3 linked regions of the Struthio camelus genome follow. The protein of the gene in region 1 binds, or shares a complex with, the protein of each later gene. Links are inferred from orthologs where the notes say so. Each region holds a gene or a part of one and is shown in the gene's direction. Other genes may lie near its edges. The genes, in order: NTS, SORT1 and NTSR1.

Region 1 (6,963 bases):
AAGAAATGATACTTCAGGTTAATCTGTTGAGATGACACTTAAAAATCTTTGAGAATCATGATCCCCTGCGGTATTAAGATGTTACTACCATTTCAAGTGTCCAAGCTTCAAGGAAAGAAGCCTTGCCAAGCATGTAGTCCTCATCTGCAGAGTCTACACAGAAAATGCCAGTTTCACAGTTTCAGACTCCCGAACTTTAAAACACAAAGGAATACCTCTTTAGTCATTAGATGTCCAAGAAGCTTCTGCTGATGCACAGCTCTTCTCAATATTTGATAGATTCACTGCATATTAAAAAACATTACTGATTCAGATCTTAATGTGGTGATGCTTTTTCTAAAACAGAAAATTCTTGCACATTATGCAGCTGCCTCCTTAGGGTTTCCTTGAAGAGCACACATTCTGGAAATTTCAGAAAGTGAAAGACACAGAGTGACTGAAGGAGATCAGATGTGAAGTAGAGCACATGCCTAACATTTTTCTTAGGAATGGCCCAGCATGTTAAGGATCAGCTCCTCTTACCTTTGAGCTGCTTCTGTTCTCCCCTGCAGCACAACTGGTCTCCAGGATCTGACTTGGGATTTTCAGAAGGTAAACATAGCATCACTATGAGAGTCACTGTCCTGACCAAACAGAACAAAAACCTGAGTTATATATTTTGAGCTCAGAGAAAGAGACACAGAGGACTCGCAATGCCTTAGAAATTCAGCTGCAGTGTGTGACTATGCTTTATGCTTTAAATATGTTTTGAATACCCTTTCCCGTCTGTCCTGCTGTTTTGCTGGAGCTTATCGTCCCTCAAGCAGACATGACAGAAATGAACTTGACTCACCAAAGTTTTCTTCTTCTTTATTAACCTAAACTGTTGATAGTCAAGCTGGTGTAGGAACAAAATAGCTTTAATCACCACAACTAAATTCAAATGTGACATTGTGAGTCAGCATCTTGAGCCACAGTTTGGTGTTTTGAAAAAATTTCTTGCTGACTTCTTCCAGGACAATTCCTCTTCCAGGCGCCAAACTTCTATACCTGCAGCAAGATTTGGCTACAAAATAATTTCATGGAAAAATCTCAGACAAGATTAATATATTTAATGACAAAACTTCAGCAGCTTCAGCCGCTTGAGCCTTTCATTTAGTCCCACTGTGTTTATTTGTGGTCCCAAGCCATAATACTTTGCCAACTGGAGAATCAACTGTTCTTTATTAAATATAGTCTCCAGTACTTGCTACTGCAGGATAATTAGTAAAATGGCTTTTTTTTCCTTCTGTTTCGTGATTACAGCTTTTGCATTTGGTGTCATCCTTACATTATGATGGTAGTTTTATGTTCCAATGACCAGGCAAATGGAGGTCCATGTATCTATTCTTTCATGGATCTGCCATTTGTCCTGATTGTTTCATTATCTTCAGATGCCTCACAGTTGTGAATGGAGCTAAAGTGTGCTGTTTAAGTCATGCATTCAGGGTAAATAAAGATAGGCTGAGATTCCCGCACAGACAGCCACCAACAAGGAACTGTGCCTGTTTTCTCTAGCTTGAGAAATACTAAAAAAAGGAAAGAAAAACAAAAACAAAAACAGAAACACAACAAGAAGGAGATCTGAGATGCAAATATATATTTTTTCTTATTAAATCATCCCTGGAGCATGCTCCTTTGCAAGATAAACCCTTCTCATGAGGAAAAATGTGATATGAAGATGACTTGGGGAAGTCAAGATGATTTGGGGAATGCACTGTAAAAATGGTTAAATTTCCTACTACGTAAAAGTTAATGGGGCAGCAGAAGATAGCACGAGTGCAGGAAAGAGCTGGAAAAAATAAATAAAGGAGTAACTGAGGAATAGAAGATAGTTCAGTTCTATTGAGAAAAAGATGTAATTGCTTGATGGTCTGACTTCAGTCGTGCCTGATCCAGGGCACTTGAAGATAATATGTCAAGAACTTTCAAGATCATGAGAAAGCAAAGAAGATTCTGAGCACTGAAGTTTCTGCTCTGTCATTTTCCAGGAAAAGGGTAAAAACAGAGCGATGATAAAAAAGATTACAGGTCATAACATACCATACATTCATCCCCTTGGAATCACTAATAATTGGAATCCTAGGATTAAAAAAATAAAAATAATTTAAAAAAAAAGAAACAATTAGGTGATCACAGATTTTAATGTCAGGGAAATTGACAGTTGTTGTCTTCCTGAGGAAAAAATAACCTATCAGTCCTATAAATTCCAGTTACATAAGAATATGGGCAATTACACTATTGAAGAAATCTGTGACAGAGAGTAGGCACTAGAAAATATCTATGAAATATGATTCTCATTCATAGAGCTTTCTGAACTGCAGAACACCCACAGAGCAAAATCAGCTGCAGATTGGTCTTTCCACATCATGGAAATAATAGAAAATAGGACTAGAGGGGAGCGTGAGTAGCCAGCTAATCTAACCTCCGTGCTAAGGCAGATAGCTAAAACTTTCTGGCAGACTAGCAGAGCCTGTACAATGTGATTTTTTTTTTTTTTAATCTCAGCTTAATAAAGCAGAAAGCTGTATTCCCAATAGCATATAAAAATCTGTGTTCTCAAGACATCTAAAACCACAGCCCTGTACTAAACTTTGTTCTTGCTTATATTTATTCAAGCATAACACAAAAGAACTTCCAAAGCTAAATTTTGTTCTGCTGCGAAAGATGATTCAAGGTGGAAGGACATCAGTCAATTAAACTCTTCTCACTATGTGTTTCCTGTGGCAGGATTTTGAAAACTGTGTGTTTTCTGTTTCTGTGGCATCTATTTCAGTATTTCATATACAGGCAGAGAGAACACAGGAGGAAAACAGAACTCATCGCTGCCATCACTCACATTTGCTCTTTGATTTTTAAAGGAAACTTTCGGCAGTGAAGACGACAGAAGAATCTACTAGTCAGCGAGTGTGTTCCTGCTATATGTGGCATGTGCATCAGCCCTGAAATGTATTCACAAGAGATCAAAATGTTCCACATTGTAATATCTGCATTCAACAGATGGAGCATTTGTCCGGATCTGAGAAAAAACACGCTAAAAGCAATATAGTGATGGAGGCTGACACCAGCCTTCAGCTTTACACTTACATCCTCACACAGTAAAGATTAGCCTGCCCTACCCGCTACTTCGGATCATTTTTTTGCGTTTTTACGTCTGAGGCACTGGGATACAGGAGAGCCCGTACCAGATTTTGGCTGTCCTGTAGGGTAGGACGTGCAGCAAAGAGAGGGGAGCGCGGCGGGCGCTGCCGGCTCCCCGGCGCGTTTCACTGTGTCTGAAGCCCGGGGTGCTGTTCACGAAGTCAGGTCCGTATTAGTTGCGGAGGGAAAAAATAAATAAATAAACAAACAAACAAACAAAACAAAACCCTACCGGTGTTGTGAAAATTCAACTGGAAAAAAAGTAAATTTTACGAGAAGGCCCTGTGGGAGCCCTCAGGCTGCCGACACAACAGCGGGCTGGGGCACGGCGTGCGCTTTCCCGCGCTGCTCCCCTCCGCCTCTCCGCGCTCACGGCGGCATCGCTTCACCCCGCGCACCCGCTGCCCTGGCTCGCTGCGCGCTTCCCCGAGCAACGGCGGAACCGGCGGTTCGGCGCTGCGCGCACTGCCCGCGCTTTCGCCACCGCTGCTTCCCGCCCCTCACCGCGCACCGGCTGCTCCAGCAACTACTTTAAAATATATAAATAAATAAAATAACGCTTTTCGGGGCCAGAGGAGCGGCGCCTTTCGGCACGACCCGTCCCCGGCGGCGCAGGGCAGCGGTGCGTGCGGGGCGACGGAGCCGCTGCGCGCTTCCTCCGCCTCCTCCCCCCCCCCCCCCCCCGCCCCGCCGCCGCCGCGGTGCTCCGCGCACCCCCGCGGGGCTCCGCGTGCGTCAGGCGGCGAATGGCGTCAGCGCCCCTCGGCGCGGAGCGGCGGCGGGGCCGGCCGCGACGGCGGGGGGGGGGGGGGAGGAGGAGGAGGAAGAGGAGGGAGGGCGCTTCCTCAGGAGGCGCTGGCAGCGCTGCCGTGACATCACCCCGCGGCTTATATAGTTGGGGAAGGGTCCGGGCGCCCCGCATGGTCCCGGCAGCCGCCCGCGGGAGGGAGCGGAGCGGAGCGGAGCTGCCGCGCGGTCTCTGTGTGTCTCTCTGTGTGTCTCTCTTGTCCGTCTCTCCCTAGGATTTATGGGCTTGCCCTGCTAGCGGCGGCGCGGCAGGATGAGAGCCCAGCTGGTGTGCGTGGCGCTGCTGGCCCTGGCCGCCTGCAGCCTCTGCTCAGGTAAGACCCCGCGCCGGGAGGGTCCCGCACCTGCGCAGCTCGGCTGGGCGAGCGCCGCTTTCGCCTCTTCTCCTCCCAACTCTCTCGGCCCAAGTTCCGCAGTCGGAGCTGAGGCGCAGCCGGCCCCTGCAGCGGGGCTGGAGACGAGCCGAGCTCACCTGGGGCTAACGCGGCTACGTCCAGCGGGTGCCAAGGGGCCGCCGCTGGTAACAGCCGTCCGGCCAGCATCCCTTCCTCTGCCGCTCCCCTAAGTTTCTGCCTTCGTATTGGCCATTCCTTCAGACAGCATCGAAGAGGGCATCAATACTTTGCTTGTTACTGTAGACTAGCCATAGAGAAACGTATCTCGGCATAGACCACTTAATTATACACGCTGCTACCTCATCTGTAATTTATTGAACACCTTCCACTTCCAAACTGTCATAGAAATTACAGTTTCTACAGCCCCTAAGAATACCTGCCATAATACACATCAACATGATTATATGTGCACTTCAGGTTTTACGTCAGACCCCTTTAGTTACCCTGAAGTACGGTTTAGGATTCTGGAAAAAATTGCTAGCAACTGTAAAATTATGGTCTGAAATGATGACAAAAAATGCTGAAGCAGATGCAGATCATGCAATAGGAATTTCAATATAAGTGTATTTTTATTCGAAGAATATATTTTTTTGAAACCTGAAAAAGAGGACTATGTATTAAAATGCATTGCTTGCGCCCTTGGAAAACGACACAGCTAAGTTTGTGTGTGTGTTCGTGTGTGTGTGTGTGTGTGTGCATGTGTGTATGACAAAAAAGACAGTTTAGTGGCAATTAAACATGTTCGTTTGTATACAGACACAGAACAGGTGTCAGAAACATAGATTTTGAAAGATAGGTTTCAAAACCCAATCTTACTAACTTGTGAATTACTTTAATTTTTAACTCCGCAAAATCTAGAAGAGTAAATATACAAGCAGCTTCAGGAGGATTCATGAGTTCATAATTGTCCTTTTAGATGAACATTTCTGCAGAAGAAAAAGGTAGCACACAACACTTGCATTTTATGTTCATCACAGTTCAAAAATAATTATTCTGTGTGTCTTAGAGAGCCCGTAATCTTAGTGGCAATGCTTAATATTTATCATTCCCTCCCCATATATGTAAAGCTTTTTTAAGTGAAGACATGGTTAATATTTTCAGAGAAGAGCATCCTACTCTACTGTTTGTAGAGCCTGACTGAAAGCCCATTAAAGGCAAAGATTTAAGTGGAAATTAAAATAAGCTCATAAAAAAGAAACCAAATTGTATATTTAATTGATATGATGTTTCATTTGCTTGAAAATTTGAAATTATATTTAAATGAGAAATACCATTGGAAGGGCTGAGTCAGTTTTAATTAATATGGACAATTATGTTGTAAAGAAAATGATCATTCAGTTTAATTTTCTTTTGAAAATGTTTGCCCTCAGGGGAAAGTGTGTTCTTGTGGAATTTAGCTATTCTTGCAGAATGCAAATGTGTGAATAGAAGCAATATTTCTTGTCAGTAAGTAGTGAATGATTAAGAGGACAGCAAAGTGTGTGGATTTTCTGCCGATATGAATAATAACATATAATCAGATGTTCTATTCAGTGCTTTCTGAGAGTCTGTTCTTGTTAATGCTTTTACCTCCTCTGCCTCTTTCATTCCTCTTTTATCTCTGCATGTGCTGCCTTCTGAATAGGCACCCAAGCTTTGCTTCCTTCTTCACTCTAGGAGTCTGGAACAGTCTCCTAAGTAATGTTCTCCAGACTGCTTAATCAAAACGTTTCTTAATACCTAACTATAAAGTGCAGCGTTCCACTTGCCCAGCCTTCTGCCATCCCCCCTGGCATTTCAAAACCAGGATGCTAACCGGACGCGCGTCCTTTCATTGTCCCCAGCTCGTAAGACCCAGGACATGCACCACAACTCAGGACGCCATCCCACATGGGCTGCTCCCCTATTCCCAGGAGCTGCTGCTATCACTGGTAAAAATTAGGCTGAGCAGATCTGGCACTACGTGTACAGCTTCTGTTAGTGGTCAAGCGTTTAAGAGATGAGGTAGCATTGTCAATAGGTAGTGCTGAAATGGAAAGCATTAAGCGAGAGAGAAGTTACTACTGACTTTCTGTAATACTGGTGTATTCAATATTTTCAATAGTGACCTCAATGCAAAAAGTAAGAGCGAGCAATTGTAGTGTTCTAGTAACACAAAGATGAACATGAGCATCAGTAGAGAGGAAGATTGTCGTAACACAGAGAAGTTTTTGATGACTTCAGTAATGAAAAGGGGAAGCAATGCAACAGTACAAAGTGTGGTAGCTTGGAAAATAATGGAAGTGTCTGTTAAAAACTCCATCTATAACAGAAGCACACTGACTGGGAGTGTTTGAGGAGATGTAGGACTTGGTCATCCTAGCTGACATCAGCCTTATGAGATACGAAGGTTTTTCAACCACAAAAGGCAAGCAAAATCCTAAAATGTGCCAGAGAGCTATTTCCTGTAGCTAGTGGTAAGCATTAAGGATTAAGGTAGTTAAGTCATGAGATTTCTTATCCGGAGTATACTGTACAATTATTCATATTACATCGGGCCCACAGGAAGGCCGTTCTGAGGACTTGGGGAATAGGTGGTCTATTATATGAAAGGAGACTAGGTGAGAGATAGAGTCTAATAGCT
Region 2 (7,595 bases), on another chromosome or scaffold:
CCACAGTCCCCTTTTGAGTATTTTGCTTTGTTCTCTTAAAGCGTGTAACAGGCCAGGACTTGTACCCTTCATTACTGGAGGAGAAGTGGTCCTTCTGGCTCCTCAGTGTTGCCTCCTGAATCTGAGCAAAGAGATATTTCTACCAAGCACTGCAGGCGCGGGGCCACCCTGAACTGCAGCAAGAGGAACCGCTCTTCCAAGAGGTGTTTGATGAAGAGCTAGTATTAACAGGGTCTCTCCCCGCAGCAAGCAGAAGCGGAGCCTGAGCCCAACAGACGTTCCCGGCTGCTGCTACTATGAGGAGATTGAGTCAATTAAAAGCTATTTCTGTGGCAGCCAGCTATTTTGGGGAATCAAAGAGCATGTTACAGGGTGGAATGATCTTGCTGGGCTGGCAGATCAAGCAGCTGAGAAGGAACAGCTGCTGTCTGCTGTGGCTTCTCTCTGTTCCCTGCCCCATGCTGTCACTTCACATATGCAGGCACGCTTAACCCCTTGCTCTTTCTCTTTCAGCTTGCCACAGTGGAGCCGGGAATGAAGTTCCACATGTATACGAAAGAGGAGCTTGAAGAGGTCATCAAGGATATTTGAAAAAGAGAGACCCCCTCAAAGGCTCATTCCCCAATCAAAGTGAACTGACTCTCGGTTCCTTCCAGTACCTGTGATTTTATTTCCAGCAGCATCTGTACTTGCTCTTCTTAGAAGGCTCTTAAGGTTTTTTTACAGTTTCTGTACATAACTGATCTCTACAATAAGAGGAAATGACAATAAATCATTTTGTTACTCTATCTTGGGTTCCTCATAATGGATGGAGGTCTGAGGTGGGGAAGTGCTCGACCGTTTAGAGCAAAACCCAGGAGCAGGTGAGGACAACATCTGCTGTTGACATCGCTGCAGGGCGAAGCAGCGCGTGCCGGGCTTGCAGAGTTCTCTGGGAATCGCTCTCTGGACGGCGCTGTTCCTAACCGCCTTCCAGACGCGGCGGCTGCTCCAGGAGCCCTTGCTGGTTATGCCAGTAGCAAGTCTCCCTCTCGTGGAGAATGAGGCTATATCACATCAGGACCTCCCATGTATAATTTTACATGGGCTTTTTAGGTCTGCTCATACCCAAAGCAGGCTTGGTGTTTGTGCTCCCTTCTGAATGGGAGTTTGGAAGTACATGCAATGACTATGTGATACAGCAGAGTTCCCCAAGCGTGGAATAGCTCTGAGGTTAAGAGGACAACCCCTTACTCGTTGACCTGGGCAGGTGTCACTGAATTTTGAGAGTATTTTCATTCTGACCAGCGAACTTTTGCTCATCTACTTAATGGGGCTTTTGTTTCTAGTTACCCCCTGCAGGCACCTCTTTGTCCTTGAAATAGCATCTGAGTATTAAAGATTGCTACTGAGATGAAAATAGTCTGGCCTAAGCAGAGTTTAGCAAAGTACTTTCCTGCGAAATCAAGACTGCGTGGCCAGTGCAGCTTCTGAGACTGGAAAACCAGCTCTGCTGTTAGGAGGCTCCTGGTAACACGTTGACTATGCAGTTCTGTGGCTTTGTAGGCAGCAGAGGCTGTGTCTCCCCGAGGCTGCTCCGCTCTCTTCCCTATTTGGAGAAGGTAAAATTTCATCCTGAACAAAACAGCGCTGACTTCTGTGAAAGAAGCAGATCCCGTGCTGCTGCTGGGAGTGGGGATCGCCTGATAAGTGGGGATGCTTCCAGCATTACATTTGACTGAAATGACTAACTTTCCCCTCAATTCAGAGGTCGGGATTGACTGCCGACCTCCAGCAGACATTTCACTGCTGTTTGGCTTTGCCAAACAGTTGCAGCAAACTGACACGACTGATCTCGCGGCCATTTCGCAGGATGGAAAACGCCGATCCTGTTAGTTTTTTTTTCTTCTCTTGCTGTTGCTGAATGCCTTCAGATGCTGGAAAGGCAACCAGATCTACATGGCTGGAAGATCTGTCCTTAGACAACATCTATTTTCAGAATAGCAGAAGCCTTTGCTCCTACGAGTTTCTGCTGTGAGGTTTTTTCCCCCCTCGTTGGTACGAGTTCAAATGAAACAAGCTGGAGAGCCAGGTGATGCCTGAGGTCTTGTGATACTAGTTGAAGACAGCATCTATATCTGCAGGTGGAAGAATAAACAAGTGGCTGGTGGACTTTGCCCTTCAGGGAGACTTCTTTGTAGCCTTAATGTGGGAAAACAAGTCCTTCAACTTTCACTCCGCTTGCATGGCCTTTGAACCACTGCCCCTGGTCTCTCTATGCTACTCTTCATCCCTAGATGAACTTGGGAAGTGAGGAGGGAAAGTCCAGGGTGGAGGTCACTTACCTTGAATGTTTGGCATGCCAGAGATGGTATTGGGGCTGCTGCTCCATGTGTTGCCCTAATAAACTCATCCAGTAAATGCAGCTCACACTGGTACCAGCTACTGTGTATGTGGAAGAAATAAGTACCCTTTATCTTTAGTATTTTAAGCCTTTACATTCACTCAAAGCTAGGTCATGTTCTCTTGCTTCTCCTTTGGAAGGGAAGCCGAGGAGCGTTTCCAGCTGTTCTGCAAACCCTGGCACATGAAGAAACCTGCTGTTCCCGGAGGTAGTGCTCTTTCTAGGCTTGTTTCTGTCCTAGAAAACACAAAAAGCTAATTCTTCCCAGCATGGCACTCCAGCAGAAAATAGTCCTTTATGTCTTTCCCTAATCACATGGTTTGCTGGTGGCAGCATCACATGGTAGCTGGTTCCTCTGAAAAATCAAGGCTTTGTGTTCCTTATATCTGATCCGTCTTGGCTCCATTGAGGGAAAGGAAAAAAGCCGGAGCTCTTTGCAGGCAGTCCGAACGCAAGAGAGGATCTGAGCGTAACAGAGCTGGGCGCACGCACCTCCCGTGCGGGTGGTTGATACCTGCCTCCGCTCTCTTTATCGGTTGAACGATGCCACCCAGGCAGCTTGTCACAAAGGTGTCTTCCCTTAGGTCTTTCATGCATCAAGCTCACAGATTTTCCCTTTTCAGGGCAAAAAAAAAAAAAAAAAGTAAAAGAATGACACAGCAGTAAGAAGAAAACCCTCTTTTTGCAAATGAGGAAGGATGAAGGCCTGGAGGGCGAGTAGCAAAGAAGTCAGGAACTTTCCCAAGTGCGTTTTGATCTCAACTTTGTGCGGCCTTAGGTGTGGCAGGAGGCTCAAGCGCTGTCTGCGCGGCCCGAGAGAGCAGGCGTCAGGGAAGAGGGTTCCTCGCCCGCTTCCCCAGCGTCCTCCTCGCTTGCACAGCCCGGCTTACCCTTGACGGGAGGATGAACCTTTCACGCGGGATCGCGGCCAGATATCCAAAGCCGCCTCCTTTCCCGGGCTCCCGCCAAGGGATCCGTCGCTTAATTTATTGGGAAGCCGCTTTCCGCCCGCGGTGCGGCGAGCGGCCCTCTCCCCGGCGGCGGGCGCCGTCAGCGCCAGGGCAGCGGCCGCAACCTGGAAGGCGCCGGCGTCGGCTTGCTGGTGCCAGGCGAAGCCTTACCGGGCCCTAGCGCGCAGCCAGCCGAGCCGGGGCGGGAGGAGAGGGTCGCTGCCCTCCGCTAAACCCGCTCGTGGAAGCGCCCCTCGCAGCCGGCTGCGCGTCCGGCCCCTCCGCAGGCCGCGACCTCTCTCCGCGCTTTTCTCCTCTCGCCGGGTTTGTCTTTCTCGCTCCTCCCGCCGGCTCAGCGCCGCACGCCCTCCGGCCCCCCGTTTCCTGGTGGCGTCGAGCGAGCTCCCGCGAGCCCCTCGCGCTGGGGCCGCCGGTTGTTTCTGCGTGGCCCCCAGAGCCGTGAACCGGGCCCCAAACCGGGACGGGTGAAGCCCGGCCTGAGCATCCCTGTGCGGGGCTGCCTTGCCAGGGTCCCCCCCCATTACTGGGCGGCTTCTCCGGGGCCTGGGTGTCTCTGGGAGCAGGGGGTCCCTGCTCTCCCTGCCAGGCCCGTTTTTTTTTTTTTTGGGGGGGGGGGGTGGTCTGCCCGCCGGACGCCTGGGCTCCTCGCACCCCCCCCCCCCCCAACCGCTCCGCCCACGTGGGCCGGCCCCCACTTTGTGAATGGGCGAGGGGGCGGGCCTTCTCAGGGTGCCCCGCCACCTCGGCCAATCAGAAAATCGCTCCGCGGCCCCGGTCGCCGCCAATCAGAGGGCTGTGTCTAGGTGGACTAGAATGCGGGGTGGGGAAGGGAGGCGGGGGCAGCGGGCAGTCGCGCAAGGGGTACGGTGGGGAGCTAGCCAGTCACGGAAGGAGGAGAGAGGTGGCTCGGCGGTGATTGGCAAGCGAAGAGGCAAATCAGGAGGCGGGGGCGGGGCGGGGCCGCCGGGGAGGCGGGCCGCCCGGTTGCCATGGCAGGGAGCGACGGCGGCCGCGGCCAACCGCGGCGGCGAAGCGGGCGGGGGCGGGGCGCGGGGGGCGGGGCGCGGGGCGGGGGCCGCCAATGGGGCGGCGGGGGCGGGCGGACGGGGCGCGGCGGGGGCGGGCGGCGGCGCGGGGCGGCGGGCGGCGGCCGGAGTCGCCATGGGGCCGCGCGGGGCAGCGCCGCGCGCGCTGGGGCTGGCGCTGGCGTTGGGGCTGGGGCTGGCGCTGCGCCTCGCGCCGCCGCCCCGCGCCCCCCCGCGCCCCCCCCGCGCCATCGGCGGCGGCGGCGGCGGCCTCGGCCTGGCGGCGGCGGCGGGCGGCGAGGCCTGCGGCGGCCTGCGCGGCGTCCCGGCCGCCCTCGGCAACAACACGCACCAGGTGAGCGGGCGGGGCCGGGAGCGGGGCGGGCGGGACCCCCCGGCAGGGACAGACCCCCCCCCCCCGGCAGCCCCCCGCCCCGTCCCGGAAAGGCACCGGCAGGGTCAGACCCCCCCCCCCGGCAGCCCCCCGCCCCCGGCAGCTTCCCCCCCCCCCCCCCCGGCCGGGCAGGTACCGGGACAGACAGGCCTCGCTGCGCTAACAGGTCTCGGGAGGGACGGACGGACAGACAGAGGCTGTCTGCGCAGCTGTGGGGAGGGACAGACAGACCCCTTCCCCCCCGGCTCCCAGGACGGACGGACAGACAGACAGACAGGCGGTCCCTCCCTCCTAGTCCCCCCCCCCCCCCCCCCGCAGCCCCTAGGGGACATGGGCAGACAGACGGACAGGCAGGTCCGTCGGGGAGCGTGGACAGACAGACGGACAGGCAGGTCTGTTGGGGAGGCATGGACAGACAGACGGACAGGCAGGCAGGTTCCCTGGGGAGGCGTGGACAGACGGACAGGCAGGCGGCCCCTGTAGTCCCTGGCACAGACAGGCGATCCCCAGCAGCAGCAGGACAGAGGGACAGACATCCCATCCTCCTTCCGCACCCACCGGGGCAGACAGACAGACGGACGCGCCGTCACCCTGTCCGTGCTGGGGCAGGGCAGGGCGGACTGACAGAGGTTGACCGGCGCGTGCTCCAGGACGGACACCCAGACCCCCCCCCCGTTGCACTGATGGGGGCAGACGAGGGGACAGCTAGCTAGCCAGACAGACGGACAGGCAGGGGACCTGTGGAGAGGCACCCCTGCAACGCCAGGACAGACAGCCGCCCGCCCACCCTCCGGCGGGTACTGGCAGCGGGCCGGTGGTGAGGCACCTCCCGTGGACAGACCCCCAGCGCGAGCGCCCGCTGCCTGGACGGACGGACGGACAGGCTGACTGATGGGCAGGACGACAACCAGCCAGCCTGAGGCTCTCCCTCTCCCTTCGCCCTGGGCAGGGACAGGACAGACAGACAGACTGACCCCCCACCGCATGCCGGGAGGGAGGTCCCACCGGGATCGCAGCCGCCCTGCGGTCCCGTCCTGCCCTCCCGCTGCGGGGACGGACAGACTGACAGCTCCCTGCCGCGTGGGCGCCGGCGGAGAGGTAGGGGACAGACAGACAGACCGGCAGCTCCTTCCTGCCAAGCGGGTGACGGAGCGGTTCCCGTCCCTGTCCCCGCTCGGCGGGCTCGGGGCGCTCGCCCCCCGCCTCCCCGCCGCCCTTGGGAGTGGCGAGGGCGAGAGATTAAGCGATGTCGCCAGATTTGGCCGACCTAAAATCTAATCTGCCCGGTTTATTTCCCGCTGGCAAAGATGACCTTAAAACCCGCGGGAGAACCGCTTCGGTCCTTCCTCTGCTCCTCCGCGGCGCCGGGAAATGCCCCCGGTGCTGGCAGAGAGAGGAGCCCGTCCCCGGCGTTTGGCCCCGTGGCTGCTCAGCCCTTGCCGATCGCTCGGTGTTACTCATCCACGCGGGCAGCTCCGGCTTGCCCGCGTGCCAGCGTCCGGGTTGAACATTAACCGTGCCGAGGATGCCGCGGGTACGGGCTGCCCTTGGCTGGCAGCGCCCCTTGGCTCGGCCGCCGCGCAGGACTGCTTGTGCCGGGCTTGGGGCCGGGCAGCGGCCGGGGCAGCCCCGAGCCAGGGCCCGTCGGGGCAAAGAGCTGCCTAAGCCGACGCCGTCGCTGCGTTGCACCGGAGGTGCCGCGTCTGCAGACTCGGGAAGAGGCGGGCGCGCGTTGCTGCGGGTCGAGATCTGGCAGGCTCGCTCCGCGCCGCGCGACTGTAGCCGCTGCCCTCTCAGCCGCCGGCTGCACCCGCTCTGCCGGCCCGGCCGGTTGCTAATTGGCGGTTGGAAGTGGGTTTGGAGCCCGGCTCTACCGGCCGACGCTCTGCTTTGAGCTGGGCCGAAAGCTGGGATCCGGCTGCTTGATTACACGCGAGTGTTTAGCTTGGCCGGTGCTGTTTTGGCAACCTCCCTGCCCCGTCCTGCTCTTCCAGGCCTCTCCGGGAGATTTCCTTCGCCGCCGCGGAGGCGCTCGGCAGCCTTGCCACCCGGGCAGCCCCGTCCCGCAGAGGCGAAGCTCAGCCCGAGCGCGAGTGCTGCTCCCAGCCGGGCTGGGAAGGGGGCCAGGCTGGCCTGACTCCTCGTCCTTTCCCTTAACCCGCGAGCCAGCCGCTCGCCCGCAGCTTCTGCAAAAGACACGTAGTGTCTTGGAGAAACAGGCTGTGTCGAAAGTCCACGGTGGGTAATAACGCGGCGTCTCAGCGGGGAGAAGAATGCGCCCGTTTGTTCGCTGCGACCGGCCGGGTTTTGTCCCTGCGGCGCCGGTGCCTGCTGGAGAGCAGGGCGAAGGAGCCGCGGCTTGTGCTCCCTTACGGGCCCCTGGGCCGCCTGGCAGGGAGCGAGATCGGGCGGCCTCTTGTGCGGCGCTTGGCCTCTCCGTTTTCCTCCTTTCCTTCCTCCGGCGGCTCCGCAGGCCTGAGCTAACGTGGGCGAGCGCGGGGCTCGCAGCACCCTCCTTCCCCAGCCGCCGGGGCTGCGCCGGCCCCTGCTCGTCCCTTACCCCGGTTCCCGCTGGGAGAGGCGTCCCGAAGCCGCCGAGCCGTGCGCGCGGAGCTGCCGGGACTGGGAACAAGCCGGGCGCCTTGGCTCGAGCGGCAGCGTTTCGAGGCGCCTCTGTCCTTGCGAGGGCACCGAGGGAAGTCGCTTAGCTGCTGCCTCAGTTTCCCCCTACCGCGAAGCAGGAGGAGGGAAGGCCCCTCCTTGCAAGAGCCCTGCCAGGTCAGCGCACCGCTGCACAACAGAGGCGTTGCATGGACGGAGCG
Region 3 (7,905 bases), on another chromosome or scaffold:
AGGGGCCAAATTCATTCCTGCTGAGCGCTCACTGATTTTACATCTTGCAGAACCTTGGCCCACAGACTGCAATTTTTACAGGCCTGTGCTATGCATCTTATTTGCCCTTCACCGAACAGCACAGTGAACATCTGGTTGCTTATCGGCCACCAAAGCTATATGGAAAGAGGTGGGATGCTTCCACGCGGTGCATGAACGCGTAGGGGTGTTTGCATGTGTGTGTGTGGGGATAAGGAGGTCGGGCTGCTCGATTTACTTTCCAAACCAGCGTTTGGTCTCTCCTCTTTGCCACTCATATAGCGGCGTGCTCAGACTGAAGGAGTCTCAGCAGGTTTCCGTGCTATGAAAATCACAGGCAATAAATATTGCATGTGTCAACCAGTTTGATTTAAATACTCTCCTTAAATCAGCTCAGTCAAACACAGTAAACAGTATACAGCAATCAGGAACCTTTTATTTTTCATCTAAACAAGCAATACTTTATTTTACAACATGTGGAGTGAGGGGAGAGGAGGAAGATGCACTTCCATGCCGGTAAGTAACGACACGGTCAATATTGCCATCAACAAAGCTGATATATGACCCTATTTCTACCACCCCTTTATCCTTCACTGTTTTTTTTTTTTTTTGCAAGTATAGCATCCCTAAAGTAGCCTCATGTCCCCCAGGATTTTACGTGCCAAACCCACTTCATAAGCTCCTGACTTTTAGGGATGTTTGAAGAAGGGACAGCCCCTCTATGCTGAGCCCCCTGTGAATTGTTTTTAAAGGCTTGAATAAGCCCAGCCTTGCCTGACTCAGGACCCTGCTCTAAACCCCGTCTTTAGGATTGGGTGCTGGGTCCTCAGCAGGGAACAAGGCTAACACCTTTCTCCTAGCACCTGTCTCTTGCAAAACTTTCTGTCTGCTGCTTTCTGTGTCCTTCAGAAAAATCCCATCTGGCGAAATCGGACTGCAGTAGGTTAATACGAAAAATTCCTAGCAGTTCCCAGTTGCAACAGGAAACAGCAAAGATGAAAACCACTTAGGTCAACATAAAAGGGAGCGAGGCAACCTATGGGCCTCACATCCTGGGCACTGTGGGACCCTTTGCTCAAAGTCCAGGTAATTTTAATAGACAAGGTCTTTGGGTGACATTTTCCTCCAAGATTTTAAGTAAATGCCTTGCTGTAACATTTGAGATCTGGCGTCTCTTGGTTTCCATGACTTTTTTTCTTTTTAAGCCACAGACACACACATACAAAATATATTAAAACGAGCCCAGCTTAGCAGAAAGGTCGGCTTGTTCGGAAACAAACAGCAGGGATTTAGGCTGTAAGCTTTGGTGCACACTAAATGAATGGGGCATCTCCACTGCTGCTTCTACTTGAAGGGAACATGGTGAAAAGCCTGGCAGGGATCAGGGGTGCAAGAGGGAAGAGATGCTCATTTCACAATCCCATATACCACTTCGCACATCCCTCAAGCCATCGATTAGCAATGGAGAGGCTAATAGTCGTGCTGGGCACGTCCTACGCAGCATGGCAGGAACGTGGTCGGTGTCCCCCTTGCAGCAGCAGTAGGTGTCCTGCTCCATAAGGAGGTGAGGACAAAAGGTAGAACCTGTCCAGACAAAAAGCTTTCTAAAAACAGAGAGGAGAGGTTGAGCCCTTTCTGTCAAGAGAAGGACAAGACTTACTTTTATTTTCCTCTTTGCATGAAGTGATCCACACTTTCGCTCTGAATATGACTGAAATAAGCTAGGTTTTAAACCCATTAGCAGGGCAACAAGATTCCTATTATATTTTTTCGTATGGTTTTGTTCGCCTTTTAAAGCAGCAAGGCCATCCTGACATGAAGCTTATGTTTTAAAAGGTCCAAGACAGCTTCAAGTCTGGTATTGCTCTCGCTGCTCACTTGTTATAGCCAAGAAATGCTGGTGATAATATCCTGCGGGACTAAGGAGCATCCTCTGGAAGATTTCAGGAGTTTTCTTATGAAGAATTGTTAAACAGGACAAGAACACACATTACTTCTGTGGGTCTGCCCAGGGCTGGCATCTTCATCCCAGGTTATTCTTCTCCTCCTTTAGCTTCCTGCAAGGTAGGTCCCCTTCTGATGCTTAGGATTTGGCTTCTTTTTATGCCTTTGTGGGGTGTTAATCATGGCTTTGTTATAGTAATTCTGTCTTGATACACTGCTCTGGATATACAAAGAACCAGAAGAAGCTCAAGGTGTAACCCCACAGAATGTGGCTGGGCATGAGCGGAGGGCACTTTGTTGAGCGGGAGCAGTGTCAATGCTGCATCTCAGGAGACAGGCTCTGGAAAGCTGGCAAACATATCCCTGACTGGGGTAAACTGGGACAAATTCATGGACACCGATGTACTTTTGAGAGTCGCATCATGATCTAGTCATGTGCCCAGGCTCAGGGATGGCCTTTGGCAGAGAAGTGCAGGCTGAATGGGTGTGGGTGGGAGAGGAGCAGTGTCTTGGTAGCCTTTGTATGTAGCCTCATCTGCCAGGGACACCCAAAGAAGAGTTGGATAAGCCTCACGTCCTTCCTTCCAGGCATCGACTTATGCTAGAAGACAGGGACACTCATTTAACCATGAGGCACACACAGCAGCTGTGAGACCACTCTTGGGATCTTCTGAATGAGGTGATTTTATCCCAGGCCATGGGATAAACTCAGATCGATGAGAAAAAAAAACTGCCCCTGCTAGTAAAAGTGCTTCAGTTGCAGCTGAAACAGGCTTGCCAAGCAATTAATGGAATATAATAAATTAATTAACTCATAGAAACATCCTGCTGAAGCATTTAGTGATCAGAGCACCCAGCCTTTTCATTACGGATATGTATTCTTCCAATGCACTTTACAAAAGGAGATATCTTGCAACAAATACTGGCTGTACTGGCCTGTTAAAGTGTCGATTTTAAATCAAGAGTCACATTCGTTACAGGTAGCTGATATTTCAGTGTGTAATTAATGTTATTTTTTTGACTATATCTGTTGATATTGCCTGCCAATATTCAGCTCGGAGGGAACATGGAGGAGGCGATGCGTTGAGCACTTGGGAGCAGCTGCTAGGACAGAGCTGGAGATGTAATATTTCCCTTGTAATCAGTCTTGTTTGCATTGTCTGTGCGCAGAAACGTGAGGCAACAGAGTCCAGAACAGGGTATTTTTAGAGACAGCTGTTGATATAAACATACATATACATATAATTTAAAATTAGACCAGCAGATAGGCATCTTGTTTCTGAGGATACCAATGGAGAAGAACATGCTTCTCAGTCGTGGTTGGCTCCTTTGGACATCGGTCAATCAGCATGACCGGTCACTTGCTTCATGTCCCACTTTCCTTCCTCAGCATGAATATTCTTGATTCATCTTGAGAACCCATCCAAGAAACAGAAACAACTGGTGAGACCAGCTGGGAACACCAGCCGTGACGAACCAATCTCCAGTAATGGAAATTTCATAACTGAACCTTTTAAATGAAAGGAACATTGGTGCTAAGAGATTATTAGTCATTCTTTAAACTAGTGTGGGATGAGTGATAGAAAATATTTCTCTCCATATTTGTATTACTGAGTATGATTAAATAAATCTGATTTTGTTTAGCCTTCCGTGGAGATCCTATCTGCTAAAGCTAATAGGAGGAAAGTTTGGGGACGTGTTGACTCTTGGCGGACAGCTGTGGAAAGTTCACAGTCTGCGAGCACTGATGATGTGATTGACTGCAGGACTAGATATGTTCTTGCATCAAATAGCTAGATGGTCTGTAGGACATCAGCACACTCAGTGGGCCCACGGACTGAGGGAACCAAATACCAGTGTTTGCTAATGAATAAACTGAACAGTTATGGCTCTCTTTGGCCAAATCAATGATTCCTTGGAAGTGATTTTTCCAGATCTCTTCTATGCACTTCTAAAGACCCTTATCAAAAAGACAACTGAATGAATAACCAGCTAATGAGTTTTGCAAGGCAGCTGGTGCAGTGTCCCTGGCCTGAAAGGAAGTATTCCCTCTGTAGACTTTGAGTGCCTCTCCCTGTCAGGCACCCCCTTGTTGCCCTCGGCATGGCCACGGCACCCCTCGTCCCTGCTCAGCCCCTCTCTACACGCTTGTGCCTGCAACTGGGCTGCTTAGAGAGGACCTTAAATGCCCAAATTCGAGGGTTTAGGATGGGGGAAAAGCTGCTAACGGGGACCAAAGTGAAGCAGCTCACTGCTGTCACTACTGTGCCATTGGGCTGAGGGGGCATCAGGCAGATTAGGGCAGAAGCAGCTCTTTTTAGGCGGCTGTTCCCCTCCTTTAAATGCATTTCTCCTTGCAGCAGCAGCAGCAGCAGCAACAGGACGGGTGTTTGGGGGCTGCGGTGATGCCCAGGGGTGATGGAGCATCCCTGGTGCCTCCCCTCTGCCCAGGGTGGGGGTGGCAGGGCTGGGTCCCCCCTCCAGCTCCCGGCCGGGGGAGCCCCGTGTTCTGCCTGCATTTGCTCGGGGTGGAGACGAGGGAAGGGGGGTCCCTGGGGGGGGTCTACCCCCGAGGGCTCTGCGGGCTCCCCCGGGAAGCGCCCTCCCAGCGCCGGGAAAGCCCCGGGGGGGGTGGGGGGGGCGGCGCGGCGCCTCCCGGGTGTGGGTGTTTGTGCGTGTGTGTTTGTGCGTGTGTGTGTGAGTGTGCATGTGTGTGTGTGTGTGTGTGTGTGTGTGTGTGTGTGTGTGTGCGTGCAGGGAGGCTCCTGCCCGGCCGGGGCACATGTGGGCAGCTGCAGGGAGGAGAGCGCCGGAGCTGCCGGCTGATCGCAGCTGACAGCGCTGCGAGGCTGCTCCGGCGTGTGCGTGTGCGTGTGCGTGTGTGTGTGTGTGCGTGTGCGTGTGCGTGTGCGTGTGTGTGTGTGTGCGCGGCTCTCTCTCTCTCTCACACACACACACACACACACACACACACGCACACACAGAGGCAGCCCGGGAGCTGCAGGCGCCTCCTCCCCGACGCATTAAAGCGAGCCAAGTTTCCACGTCGGGGGTTAGTGGCACCTCGGGGCGCAGCCGCGGACCCAGCCCGGCGCCGGGCTCTGGGCAGCGCCGGGCGGGCTCGGGCTCGGGCTCGGGCTGGGCTCGGGGCTGGGGCTGAGGCTCGGGCAGGGGGATGCACCTGAACGCCACGGCCCCGGCCGTGCCGGGGGCAGCGCCGGGCGGCCCCCTCCGCCTGCACCCCACGGGCTATGCCCTACCGGCCGGCAACGCCTCCAACCGCTCCGACCTGCTCCCCAAAGGGCCCGATGAGGAGGACCTGGACGTCAACACCGACATCTACTCCAAAGTCATGGTGACGGTCATCTACTTGGCTCTCTTCTTGGTGGGCACCGTGGGCAACTCCATCACGGCGTACACGCTGGTGCGCAAGAAGTCGCTGCAGAACCTGCAGAGCACCGTGCACTACCACCTGGCCAGCCTCGCCTTTTCCGATCTCCTCATCTTCCTCCTCTGCATGCCTATCGAGCTCTATAACTTCATCTGGGTCCACCACCCCTGGGCTTTCGGGAATGCCGTCTGCAAGGGCTACTACTTCCTTCGGGATGCCTGCACCTACGCCACGGCGCTCAACATCGCCAGCCTGAGCGTGGAGCGCTACATGGCCATCTGCCACCCCTTCAAAGCCAAGAGCATCATGTCCCGCAGCCGCACCAAGAAGTTCATCAGCTGCATCTGGATCGCCTCCTTCCTCCTCGCCATCCCCATGATCTTCACCATGGGGGAAATCTACGGCAAGGACCAGAAGCCTGACTCCCTCATCTGCACCACCATCGTGGACGCCTCCACGCTGAAGACGGTCATCCAGGTGAGGATCCAGGCGATCGGGCGCGGGGAGCTGCAAACTTTGCAGCGCCTGCTCGGGCCGGGTGGGGGAACCGGGGCTGGGGGGAGGGGGTAGTGACGGGGGGGTCCTGGCAGCCCCAACGGGGCGGCCAGGCGGCACTGGCGGCAGCGGGGTCCACGGGGGCTCGGCTCCGTGCCCGACCTGCCCCCTCTGCCAGGCGCCGGGCTGGGAGCCTGCACCAGGCTGAACCCGGCTGCAGACCCTCCGCAGCGCCTCTGCTCCCCGGGCTGGGCTGGGGTCTAAAGCTGTCTCGGGCCGGGAGCCCCCCTTAATGCAGACCCCGAGCACCGGGACCCCGGCTCTGCCCTGGGGCTGGGGCTCCCTTGGCGGCCCCGGCTGCCCCGGGGGTGCTCGGGTTCTCCCCAAAAGTAGCAGTTCATCGCCAGAAAGCCCACAAATCTCCGCCCTTTCTCTGCATTTTTATCTCCTTTCCTCTTGCTGGAGAAGGGGCCAGCACGAGCAGGGAAAACAAAACCCTCACTCCCCCTCTCCCAGTTTCTTTAGTTGATTCATAGCCCATTTCCTCTGTGTAGTAACAGATCCTAATTCCAGAAAGTTTGAGGCACAGGCTGCAGCGCAGGCATCCCAAAGGAATGGCACCTCCAAAGCCAAGAGCTGGTATTTTTGTTGCTTGGGGGAGATGTGCTATAACTAGCAGCCCCCCAGAAAGGCTTTGGGGGTCTCCACGCAACAGCTGATCCCATAGTCCCACGCGTGGAAGGGATTTTGGATTTCAGCATCGGCACCATCACCACTGCGCAGGGCTCAGGGGGTCTTGGGTATTTGTTTACTGGAGCATCAGGCTTGAAAAATGTAAGAGAGCTGGGAGGAGAGCTGGAAAGAGCAAGGCGCGAATGTGCACAGCTCCTTTGCCGCCAGGCTCACACGCAAGGGCTTTTCAATCTTTTATTTTGAACATGAATTTTAGGTGGTTTTAATCACCAGCCGGTTAGAATTTAAAGCTGCATGCGTACTAAATCCTTTGAAATGTGCCCACGGTTAGGGGGAGGAACTTAAATGGAGGCAAATCAGAACCATTTCTTCTAGTGAAAGTGGACAAAGGTAAATGCAGTTAGATTTAAAATCAGAGCCTTTAGATGTTTAGACATCTCTGTCCAAGTTTCAGGTATATCGCTCCAGCAAACCAAAGTCGAGCCCCCACAGAAGCACTGAAAAACAGCTCTGATTTTTGTCTTGATACCAATGAGGCTCTATTTTTCCTGTAAGTGCTTTGTAGATTTTGTCGGTGCCAGCCCAGTGTACTTAACCCAAATTCTCTACTCTCTACAGAGACCTGAGCTATCCAATTTGAGAACAATGTGGCTGAAATGTATTATTTCCAGCCATCTTCCTTTTAGGATTAAACTGGTGCTCAGTATTAATATGATAGGGCTAAAGAGATAGGATTATTTCCCAGTCACATCTTCTGAGATTACGGTTTAAACAATTCTGAGCATATTTCACAGTATCACTATTATTCCGTATATACCTTATCCTGTTATCCAAGTAAGCAGACAGACATTAAAGCATAGCATGTGACGTTCTCACGTGCTTTACCTTCAATGCTGTTGGGCTTTTTGTTCTTTCTTTTTTTATTCCACTTGCGAATTAATTTGCAAGTAAAAAAAAGGAGGAACTTCACAGCTAAAAAAGGGGCCTTGGCAGCTGCTGAAAAAAACACCATACCTTTCCTTCTGGGGGGACCTAGCCCCAAATGTCGATTTGCTAACATGGGCAGCTGGTTTAATGGCCCCGGATCACTCCTCTTTTGCGCACGCTGAAGCAGCACGTAATGTGAAGCAGGTCCCTGGACCAGGAGAAGCTCCAGAGTGAATAAGCAAAGCAGCTGCAGGTCAGGTTTGAAGTGCATTAATGGAAAGTGTTGCACAGTGTGTGATCGGGCACTTGCACGTTGTTAGAACTAGGCTGTTCAGAGCTTTTAAAAAAAAAAAAAGAAATAATGGAAGATCCAGGAGAGAAAGAAAGGGCAGTGGTAATGCGGGACAGCCTGATGCACAAAGGTCTTGCAGCTAGGA

What was found.
Region 2: the proteins of NTS (region 1) and SORT1 are in contact, whole or in part, in a crystal structure (PDB 4PO7), measured with the Homo sapiens proteins. The link is inferred for Struthio camelus from reciprocal best matches to the Homo sapiens genes NTS and SORT1. Residues at the interface, in NP_006174.1 of Homo sapiens: Leu152, Tyr153, Glu154, Asn155, Pro160, Tyr161, Ile162, Leu163; in NP_002950.3 of Homo sapiens: Val112, Ser113, Leu114, Ser115, Trp116, Lys260, Tyr304, Ser305, Phe306, Gly307, Leu308, Phe314, Ser316, Arg325, Ile327, Phe350, Tyr351, Ser352, Ile353, Tyr395, Gly399, Thr570, Gly571, Leu572, Ala573, Trp586, Trp597.
Region 3: the proteins of NTS (region 1) and NTSR1 are in contact, whole or in part, in a crystal structure (PDB 4BUO), measured with the Rattus norvegicus proteins. The link is inferred for Struthio camelus from reciprocal best matches to the Homo sapiens genes NTS and NTSR1. Residues at the interface, in NP_001095851.1 of Rattus norvegicus: Arg157, Arg158, Pro159, Tyr160, Ile161, Leu162; in NP_001102437.1 of Rattus norvegicus: Ser53, Asp54, Leu55, Asp56, Asn58, Phe128, His132, His133, Tyr146, Met208, Val224, Cys225, Thr226, Pro227, Ile238, Arg327, Arg328, Phe331, Cys332, Tyr333, Ile334, Ser335, Asp336, Trp339, Phe344, Tyr347, His348, Tyr351.

Annotation. Positions count from the first base shown.
Region 1 is NC_090942.1:48,243,409-48,250,371, forward strand, and holds the start of NTS (neurotensin/neuromedin N), read left to right. Parts: upstream 1-3,963; 5' UTR 3,964-4,219; coding exon 4,220-4,280; intron 4,281-6,963. UniProt on the Homo sapiens protein: Neurotensin may play an endocrine or paracrine role in the regulation of fat metabolism. It causes contraction of smooth muscle.
Region 2 is NC_090965.1:4,135,253-4,142,847, reverse strand, and holds the start of SORT1 (sortilin), read left to right. Parts: upstream 1-4,515; coding exon 4,516-4,734; intron 4,735-7,595. Other genes in the region: PSMA5 (proteasome subunit alpha type-5), read left to right, coding at 514-591.
Region 3 is NC_090959.1:16,008,730-16,016,634, forward strand, and holds the start of NTSR1 (neurotensin receptor type 1), read left to right. Parts: upstream 1-4,888; 5' UTR 4,889-5,137; coding exon 5,138-5,830; intron 5,831-7,905. UniProt on the Homo sapiens protein: G-protein coupled receptor for the tridecapeptide neurotensin (NTS). Signaling is effected via G proteins that activate a phosphatidylinositol-calcium second messenger system.